Arabidopsis thaliana: one gene and its partner. The protein of the gene in region 1 interacts with the protein of each later gene in a pairwise test. Each region holds a gene or a part of one and is shown on either strand. Other genes may lie near its edges.

Region 1 (4,216 bases):
ACTAATAACTTTTGTCATTTTCTCCTTTTTCCCACGTCTTTTTGAATCTATATGATGTCTTTTAAAACTTTTGAAAATTTTATATTTAGTATGCATGCTTACTTACATAGTTACATGTATGAATGTTTTATCTAGAACTCTAGTCTCTAGAAGGATATCCACATTATGCTACAAAAGTAATATAAATATCGACCAAAATTTGTGTAGCCTATGTGTCAAGGTTCTGATTTACACTTGAAAATACGCAAATGAGTTCTAGATGATGGAAAAATGATACACTATATCTCGAATGTTTTTACAAAATTATTAGATAGAATTTATCTCTACGTCAAATTGAAATTTTTGACAACTTGTTGTTGCCTTTACAATTTTTATTAGCAAGATCAAGATTAGATCATTATGTATAAATTCTATTTACTCACTTTTCGTTTAATACGCAATGCCATAGAAGTGTCTTGTGATTAATTGAACCATCTCATACGTTCTACATTAAAAAGTTCTTACTTTTTACTTTTTAGTAGTGCTGTATTTTCACAGTTGTTTTTGTATGATTAAGGAAGACTAATGCACTAATCTCTCCACCATTCTCGGTAGAAATGTCGACTTTGAGATATCATATTTTTATTAAAGCAATAAAACAAATAGCGAAATGCAACACAAGAAACATTTGAACTTTTTACAAAGCTCACTTTGAAATTTGAAAGTGTTATTACATTCAAACCAAAAGATATCAATCATATAATTTGGCTAATAAAACACATTTAAAAGTCTTAACTACTTAGCAAAAACCAATTTATCGAGTAGAGAGAGATTCAATCTCAAATTTGATGAAAAATGAACAAAAATGGGGACAGACTCAATTCGCTGCAACTTTCTTATCCCCAAGTAGTACAGCTTCTTTCTCTCGCCACACCGCATGAACCTCGTCTGTGCGAAATCGTTGTGTAAAGGTAGAGTCTTCGATCGGTGTTTCAATACCATTAACAAACGCGAGTAGACCTGTGTAAGCGATCATAGCTCCATTATCGATGCAGTAACGGTCATCTGTTGCAAACAGCTTACCATCACGTTCTGAGCACATAGTCCTCATCATTTCCTGCAAACGCTCGTTACACCCAACACCGCCAACTATCAAAACGTCTTTCTTGTCACAATGCGCCATCGCTCTTTCTGTGATCTCAACCAACATCGCAAACACCGTCTCCTGCAAGATCAACAAACATGAATTCATGATATTACTCTTAAACAGTCCAAAATTTGCATTCATGTGACAAAATTCATCAGTTAAGAACCAAGTGATAGCCTTACTTGAAGGGAATAACACAAGTCTGCTGGTGTACACTCGTTATTCTTGAGCTTCTCCTCTGCAGTAGTTTCGATATAACTCAAGATTCCGCTGAACGATACATCCATACCTTTAACAGCATACGGAAGATCAATAAAGTTTTCTCCTTTCTTAGCAAGCTAGTAACAACACCAAAAACCGTGTTAACATTGTTCTTGAATCTTTCAAGAATTCAAATTTACTTTACTTTCAAATGAAATCTACCTGTTCAATGTTATAACCAGGGCTTGGATCATTAGAAAGCTTCAAGACTCTAGCAAACCGATCCAAACAATTACCAACAGCAATATCAATAGTCTCACCAAAAATCCGGTACCTACCTTCACTATAAGCAATCACCTGAGTGTTACCACCACTCACATACAACACAACAGGATCATCAGCTCCAGTAACTACTCTCCCCATCTCAATGTGAGCCACACAATGATTCACAGCAACAATTGGCTTTTTCCAAAGCTGTGACAATACTCTAACAACAATGGCTGAAACCTGCAACGGCGCTCCCATCCCGGGACCTTTCGTATAACAAATACAGTCGATTTCTTCAGGAGTAACTTGAGAAGTCTCTAAAGCTGATTTGACTAAAGGAAGAACATGGTCAAGATGGTGATGTGCAGTCTCTCTAGGAAGAAAACCATGACCAGGTGGTGTTATATACGTATGCCGAGGATTTGCTAAGATAGTACCGTCTAAAGTCACAATTCCAACTCCAATCTTGTTAGCTGATCCTTCGAAACCAATGGCTATCATCTTCTTCTTCATTTCTTTGATTTAAAAACAGAAACTTTCTACACAGAGAACAACAAATTCAGGACTAGGTGAAGTAAAAATCCAAACTTTATTCTGAATCAATTTGAACTAACACAAATTATAGCCTTAGACGTTGAAGATGATGAACAAAATTAATCCTTTCGTTGATTGGTATTGGTATTGAGAGAGACCCAACAAAGAGATTCGTATAACCTAGGTTTCGTTTCCTTAGATGAAAGAGCCCTAAACCCTAATCTAAACACAGAAACCAATTCCATTCGAGACACAACACACTGAACCCATGTACTGTTGTTTGATTTAAATCAAAAACTAACCTGAAGCTGCGTGATGGCCGGAATCAGAAGTAGCTCACAAGCTCAAAGCAAAACGAAATTAGCCAGAGAGTTTAAAGAAGAAAAAGACGGCGATAAAGTCGCCGGGAGAGAAACGACGATGTTGAGTTTCTAGACTGTGTAAACGGCGTCGTTTATAAATGGGCCTAGCCCAATAACGCATATTTTGCCGCTAAGAAGGACTCATTTAGTGTGACGTGAAGTATTTGTGATATAATTATACATTAATTAATTTAAATAATTACAATTTTAATTTGTAACCTTCATACTAATTTGTAATTTGTTGACCCAAGAATTTTAATCGACTTGCCAAAAATATAACTACAATATAGTTTTATAGCTTTGGCATCGACTATTAGGCGTTATTATTGTAAGTAAAACTTTGTTATATTAAATGTTATCAAAAATGTAACTTGACACATCTTTTATACAAAGCATCAAAACTCCAGACACAGATAAAGAAAAGTAAACTTTAAACAAGAAAACTCAATTCAACATCCTTCTTACTTAAGCTGTGTAGAGTTTTGGATCGGACAACCTTGGAACAGGAATAGCCACAAGTGGAGACTTCAACTTAAGAACAAGACCAAACTTCTCTTCAACCTCAAACTTCTGTCCTTGAGGAGCTTTCCAATCAAAAGAGTGAAGAAGTGAAGCAATGTTGAACAGAACAAGTCTCTCAGCCATGTTTATCGCCGCACAAATCCTCCTTCCTGACCCAAAAGGCAAATACTTAAAATCACCTCCATTGAAATCAAGCGAATTCTCCAAAAACCTCTCAGGTTTGAACTCGTTTGGTTCATCCCAATTCTTAGGATCTCTATGAATCGCCCAAACGTTGATGAAAATCTTGGAGTCTTTAGGCACAGTGTATCCCGCAACCACCGAGGTTTCGCTGTTTCTGTGAGGAACAAGAAGAGGAAGCGTAGGGTGAAGCCTAAGAGTCTCTTTCATAACCGCTTGTAGGTAAGGAAGCTTAGGTAAATGTGATTCCTCAACGATGTTGTCTTTGCCAACAACTTGGTCAAGTTCTAGTCGGATCTTGTTTAACACTTCCGGTCTGCTCACAATCTCTGCCATGGCGAATTCGGATGCGTTAACCGATGTGTCGACACCACCAAGAACCATATCCATGAGGAGAGACTTGACATGAGTCATGGACAGAGGAGCTTTCTCATCATCATCTTTAACTCTAAGTAAGTATTGCAAGAAATCTTCTTCTTCTTCGCTCTTCTTTCCCACCATTTTGACGTGACTCTCCATAACTCTATCGAACAAGAGATCAAGCTTCTTCACATGGCCTTTCATCTGCTTAACCAATCCTTGGAAATCGAATCTTGAGAACAACGGAAAGAAATCTGAGTAGTTTTGAATCCCTTCTATGTCGGAGATATCAGATATTAGGGTTTTGAGCTCGTTTCCTAAGCTCGTTCTCTCGTCTCCTTCAACAGTGGCGCCCCACATCATTCTTGTCACGACGTTGAAAATGGAAAGAAATATTTGCTCTCCGAGGTTGACTGGTGATCCTTCACGAGCCATTTCCGACATGTGGACAATGGTTTGTCGGGTTTCTTCCCGGCGAGTGGAGTAGGAAGCTTCGAGACTTGGGGTAGTGAACATCTTCATGACGCAGAGCTTACGAAGTCTCCTCCAATGGGTACCGTAAGGAGACCAGAGGATGTCTTCACCACCGTAAGTGTTGATCTTTCCGACTTCAGGGAGATCGTGGTTGGCGAAAGTGATGTCGTGGGTTTTGAGAACCTCGCGA
Region 2 (6,374 bases), 3.3 Mb from region 1:
AAGTAAACAGGAGTAAGAATTTCAAAGCTTGACAACAACGAACACTGAATGGTAAATTGATGAGTCCAAACCTTAAGACCAAGGTAAGTGAGAAGCCCTTCAGGATCCTTGAGATACTCAATATCGGGAATAAAGAAACCATGATGCTTATGCATGTGAAGCATACAGCTCTCTAAGGTCTTATGTTTTTTGTCACACATCAAACAGCAGGTTGGATCCAGCTCATACTTATCTGCATCACCATCATCATCCATATCTTCAGCAGATCCAGACTCATTCACATTCAACTTAGACAAAGAATCAGAGGCTTCTTCAGCAGCCAATTCCTCGTCAGAATCAACCTCCACCCATTCATCTTCACTATCATCATCAATGGAACCCCTGTGTTGAACACGGCGAGGAAGTTGCCTGATAATCGCTATATCCTCCTCTCCGTTGATTGATGTCCCTTGTGAAACCCGCAAAACATGGCTACGCGACTGAAGATGCTGCTCATGAGCCTTGGAACTCCTGTAACCTTTAGCACAGATTGCACAAGTATAAAGCATAGGTGCTTCATTTGATTTATTCTTCTCCTGAGCAAGAGCAGATTGTCTAGCCTCAAACAAGGCTTCTGTAACTCCAGGAACTCCAGCCACCTAACATAAAAAATTACAGAAATACAAAGATTCAAATGCCTAGAAGTAACCAAATCTATGATTATTGAAATCCTTGTTCCTTAGTAGAATAAGCTTCAAAACAAATTTTCATATAAACTCTACGATTCCATAACCTTAACTAAACAATTTCGATAGCAAAATGGAAAAGCTGTTTCTCAGAAACTTTCATCTCATCACCGACGCAAGATTTTCCCGAGAAACAGATAGGCTTGAGTTCAAATTCGATAGAGAAAGCAGAAGAAATGAAACCTTGCGCTTGAGATTGTAGCGGTGCCAATCGGATTTGTAATGAAGGTTACGTTCTTCTTCGTCCTTGAACTCCATGTTACACGCGTTACATGTTAAACCAGGCATCTTCTCTCCTTCAATATCGATCGATTCTAGAAATGGAAACTGGAGAAGAAAAGAAAATCAGAGAAAAGATAGTTGGGAGGATAAGATTTGTTGTTGATATGTGTAGAGCAACGACGGCTCGTAAATGGATCGGCGATCGTGTTTGTCTCTAAAAAAGCGTCGATTGATGATGATTGATTGCCATCAAAATGAAAAGGAAGGCGCCCCGCCCATTTTAGATCCGATCGGGTTGGAACTGACCCGTTCCTGACCCGATACAAGAGTAGCCCATTTGGCCCATTCTTTTAGCCTTTTTGTAACACTGACACAGTTGACGAATTAAGTATTACTGTATGAGTAACCAAAAAACATTTTTCTAATATTGTTTTTAAAATAACTACTTACAACTTGATTAATTACTTCGTTTAATCATGTAACTTTTTTTTCTTCCAAATTCTAATCTCTCTATTAAATTACTGCATTTATAAGATCTAAACATCATGTGATATGTTCAAAATATGAAAAGAGAAGAATATAATACATGATTTTACTACGATTAATTTTTTTTAATCGCAATGTTTTGTTTTTGCCTAATTTTATTAGTGGAAGAAATTTTAACCGCAGGCCTGTAATTTAGGAAACTAACTATTCACCCCCAATTAAAAAAAAAAACAAGAAGACGACAAATAACGAGAAATTACCAATTTTTCCTCAACACTTTCATTATTTCCTACAACGAACTTCTCCCTCCTCCTCTCACTTTCACCATGGATTCCGTCTCCGGTTACGCCGCCGGAGCAGGTCAGCCTCGAGTCGGTGGGAAAATTGTTCGACCACGACGCACCGCTGTTGTCAGGACGCCGTGTGAGCGCCCCGTTCAGAGATCCCGAGATCCTCCTCAGCAAAACCCTAGTTGGATCTCCAGGCTCGTTTACAAACCCGCCAGCGTAATTGCTTCCGGCGCCGGAAAATTCATTTCTTCCGTCGTCTTCTCCGACTCTTCCTCATCTTCGGAGGAGGACGAGGATTCATCTTCAGGTTTGTACCATTTATTTCAGTTTAGATAGGATTAATTTGAATTTTTGGTTTATTGTCTGGTCGAATCTGAAAGCTACCGTTTCGTTTGAAATGTGAAGTTTGACTTAAAGCTTTCCCATTTTCTCTTTCCTTTAATATGTGGGACTTAAGAGCAGTTAAGCATTGTTGTACTCTATTTAGTTAGGTTACTTCTAAGCTATAAACTTCATACTAATTCTAAAGCTCTAATTTTTATTCATATAATGTAGTTCTGGGATTGAGAATACCAACCAGCTTTGTTGTGTCTTATTCTTTTAATGTATGGATTTTTATATGTTTTCTTCTTTGTTTGCAGATATTGATGGTGATGAGGATGTTGAGAAGAACAATCCCGATTTTACTGAAGAGGTACTAACCACCTTGTTCGTTTTGGTGATTGCTATGCCACTGTAGTCCTATGATAATTGTTTGAAGTAAAGTTCGTGAAGCTAACACGTTTTCAACTGAGAGTTTTTTTTATAAAAGCATAATTTCAGTTTTTGTGCTTGTGTGAATAGGACCTTCTGAGTGCCCAGCAACCAAGCATTCAACGACTCAGTTCTAAGCGTGTAATTGAGCAGCTTCTCTTGCAAGAAACATTTGCAAGGTATTTCTCTGCCTGGCTTTTTGGACATCATAAGTAGCAGCCTCCTCGACTATTCTTATTATTTACACCTCATAGCTTAAAGAATCTTTCTGAGACGTGTGTAGTTACCAAATCTAAGCTGATCTTGTATCCTGCTTATTCATTCATGTGTATGTTGTTTCAGGGAAGAGGGTGATAGGTTAATAGATATCATCAAGGCTAGGGTTGTAGATCATCCCAGCGTCCCCTCTGCTATTGAGACGAGTCATGATGACTATGGATTGACAAGCGGTATGTTACTGATGGTAGACTGTGCAAGTAGACCGGATTAGTCTATGTGATAACGTCTTCTTTTCTATTTTATTTCTAGACGTGAATGTGGGTGAAATGTCCAATACAGCTGTCATGGAAGCAAGAAAATGGTTGGAGGAGAAGAAATCAGGATCAAGTTCAAAGTATAAAGTAAGTTCTGGAAACTTGCTTCTTAACTGTTCTAATTGCTGCAGCCTGCAGGTATCAACTTTTTTGTGATATCTTGTCTCCGTGCTCTAAGCCATTATTATTATAGAAGGAGACATCTTCTGTTTGGGTAAAATGATTTGATTGTTATATGCCAATCCATGTGATCAGCAACTTAAAGCTCTCTTGCAAAAGTAGGTTGTTCAGAATTCTGCGTGTGGCCATCTGGTGACGTTAATTCTGAAATGTCCTGATTGGGAAATACCTTTTTGTCCGCTTAAAATGCAAAAGATCCATATTGTTGCTCTTCTTTTGACTATGAAGACCATTTACTTACATGATTTTGGTCAACTTCTGATAGCTTCGCTTCACAGTATTCTTTTTCCATTGTACTTTAAATGATGATCACCATCTCAGCCATTAGTTTAAATCTCCAGGCAACTGAAGATGGTGCTGGATCGCCTGTGGACGTGGCCAAGTCTTATATGCGAGCTCGTCTGCCATGGGGATCTCCAGCTGCGAATAATTTAGATTTTCGATCACCATCATCAGCAAGAGTGCAAGGGACACCCCTTCCTTATAGCGCTGGAAACTTTTCCTCATCCAAGGTTAGAATTTTAAGTTCTCCAGCAGTGCATACTTTTCTTTTGGTCAAATGTTGTTTGAAAGTCTGAAGTCGTTTCATCTTGGTTTATGAGATAAAATTCTCTGCTTAACTTCTATTGTTTATGTTAGATAACCACGAGGAATTTGTGGGACACTATTTCCAGCTATTCCTAAAGAAAAGTTGCATACCGTTATATGTATTTTCAATGGCTCTCTCAAATTTACCCTTATTCATTCTGACATTGGTTACCAAATGCAGCTGAAAAGGAAGTCCGGTTCTAATCAGTCATGGAATATTCAAGATGAAATTCGCAAAGTCAGAGCTAAAGCAACCGAGGAAATGCTTAAAAGTCCCAGTAGTGTAGCCTCTTTGGAACCTAAATACAGCCCCTATGTTTTAGCGACTGATATGCTCAAAGGAAATGCTTCGTCTTTGAATGCTGATGGAGGTGTTTTTTTTCTTTCTTTATTCACACGTGGAAGAAGTTTTTCAGTAAGACATGAGTTGAAACTGAAATTAACTCTTCTTTTCTGTTCTTTCAGCTGTACGGAATGAACAAAGCAGAGCTCTACCAAATTCAGCCATACCTACCTCTGAGCACAATCAGGTATCAAGCACTCTTTACACTATGTGTCTCTCATTACCAAGAAAAAACTTGCAGTTCCAATCTTTCTTGTTTTGGTGTCCTTGTGTGTTTTACTTGAGTGAAGACTACGGAAGCTAATCAAGCCGTCAAAGAAACAGGAGTTTTACACACTAGATCTCGTTAGTTTCTCCCTTAATCCTTAATTTGTATACACTCTCTCATCTTCGCTTTTTATACTCTGTCTCATGGATTTAATGTGTTCTGATTAGGTGGAGTTGGTTTGGAGGAGACATTTATCTCCACACAAGGAGTCAAGCCATCTGAAGATACGAATACCGCTCCTCAAAGGTTCTTTTTATTGTGCTTATCCTTCCAACACAGATTGTACCTTGTTTCTTTTTGACAGATATGTTTTTTAGTATATCAATCTTCTGAAGTTTTTCAACTGTATGCGACAGTGGAACTGCTGTAGATGACTTCAATGATCAAGATGGCGATTTTATCCAACCTACTTCTACTATCGGAAACACCACAAATGGTATACATTGGATGTTGAATTCCTTTGGTTCTGATTTTTAGTTGGGTTCTCTTAATTTACTTGCGCTCCTATTGATGCAGCTGTCTTGGCTCTTGGGGCAACTTTGGATCCTACTGGGAACTCTTGCATCCCTAAAGATGTGTTTGAAACATCAAAAGAAGCTGATGAAATAGGCGCATCACGTCATACTTCTAACGGTTTCCCATCTTCATCACCTAGGTGAAAAGCAACTCCTTTGTCTGGCTAGTTTGACATGATGACATTATTTCCTCCTAAGCAAAGCCTTACTTTTTCAGTTCACCAGCGGTTATGGAAGGTCAACCAAAACCCACACCACCAGAAGAAACCAAGGCTTCTCAGCCTATAGCTGAAATTCATGGTGATGATATGACAGTAGGGAATGGCTCAGATGGTGCAATTAATAACGAAAGCAATGACAGCCACTCAAGTGCCTCTAACAGTTCAAGCACCCATGAAGAAGAGTGGCTCCCAGGAGACCAGTCTCTACCTAACTCAAACTCAGCAAGTAGCAGCCCGGGAAATACCAAGGTCTTGGCATACAGCAGAAGAGGAAGAGGCCGAGGTAGAGGAAGAGGCAGAGGAGGTCGAGGCAAAGGACGGGCCAAATAAACTTTGTAAGATGAGCTGTACACAACAAACACAATGCAGTAGGAGAGTATTATGATGAGGTAGGATTATGTGACATCTCTTTTAGATTTGAATCCCACTCTGTTTGTGTTTGGTCTTTGGTCACTTCGTTATCTTTTTAGGTTATCTTGTAGTATTTGAGTTAGGAGGATTTGTCTTGTCGAGTTATGTGGAATTGTGTCTCTGTTGTTTCTTTCATTTGTCTGAAATCTCTAATGTTTAATGTTGTAAGTTTGAAGCTTGGTTTCGTTCCAGCTGACGAAGCTTTGTAGTTTGCAGTTTCCATATGTTGAAACTCTTTTTCTTTTGTTCGATGCCAAATTTTTAAATCTTTTTTACTTGACCAAAAAGCCAACACCTAATTTTTTTGGGGGAAATCTCAAGTACTAACACCACTCATCTTTTAACCTCGTAAAGTGTCAAGTAAACAAATTCTGACATGATCCAATATTAGATGAGATCACTCAGATCAAAACATTGTAAGATGAATATAATCAAATGGGTTCAATCTAGTGTTACACAATCTCTTACCAAAGTACAAAAGCAATAACGAGCGAAAAGAAGAAACCCAATAACCAATTTTATCAAGACAGACAGAAAGAGAGAGAGAAAAAACAAAACAGACAGAAACAAAAGTGAAGAAAAACGAACAACAAAAACCCAATAAGCAGCGATCGAAGCTAAAATAAACACAGAAGAGCGAAAGCGCTCAGACATTCAAATCTGAAAAGCCATACGAAAGAAGAAGCCACGAAGATTCAATCGAAGCAGAAGTGTATTATTAAGAAGCCGAGAAATCATTGGGTTGGTGTCGGAACTCGGAAGTTACTTGTTTTGTTCCGATTTTTCTTTTGTCTGAATTCTTTCTGGTCAAATCTTCCAACACTTGTTCTTCTGCTTAC

The links.
Region 2: the proteins of AT4G22720 (region 1) and AT4G31430 interact in a two-hybrid assay, tested with the Arabidopsis thaliana proteins (one large-scale study listed by BioGRID).

Annotation. Positions count from the first base shown.
Region 1 is NC_003075.7:11,935,358-11,939,573, reverse strand, and holds AT4G22720 (Actin-like ATPase superfamily protein), read right to left. Parts: upstream 2,633-4,216; 5' UTR 2,431-2,632; intron 2,134-2,430; 5' UTR 2,108-2,133; coding exon 1,550-2,107; intron 1,465-1,549; coding exon 1,309-1,464; intron 1,205-1,308; coding exon 857-1,204; 3' UTR 605-856; downstream 1-604. Other genes in the region: CYP706A2 (cytochrome P450, family 706, subfamily A, polypeptide 2), read right to left, coding at 2,956-4,216.
Region 2 is NC_003075.7:15,246,751-15,253,124, forward strand, and holds AT4G31430 (flocculation protein), read left to right. Parts: upstream 1-1,626; 5' UTR 1,627-1,759; coding exon 1,760-2,030; intron 2,031-2,364; coding exon 2,365-2,417; intron 2,418-2,566; coding exon 2,567-2,655; intron 2,656-2,818; coding exon 2,819-2,925; intron 2,926-3,004; coding exon 3,005-3,096; intron 3,097-3,530; coding exon 3,531-3,701; intron 3,702-3,958; coding exon 3,959-4,148; intron 4,149-4,242; coding exon 4,243-4,307; intron 4,308-4,410; coding exon 4,411-4,465; intron 4,466-4,555; coding exon 4,556-4,634; intron 4,635-4,744; coding exon 4,745-4,824; intron 4,825-4,904; coding exon 4,905-5,043; intron 5,044-5,120; coding exon 5,121-5,454; 3' UTR 5,455-5,809; downstream 5,810-6,374. Other genes in the region: AT4G31420 (Zinc finger protein 622), read right to left, coding at 72-638, 909-1,013.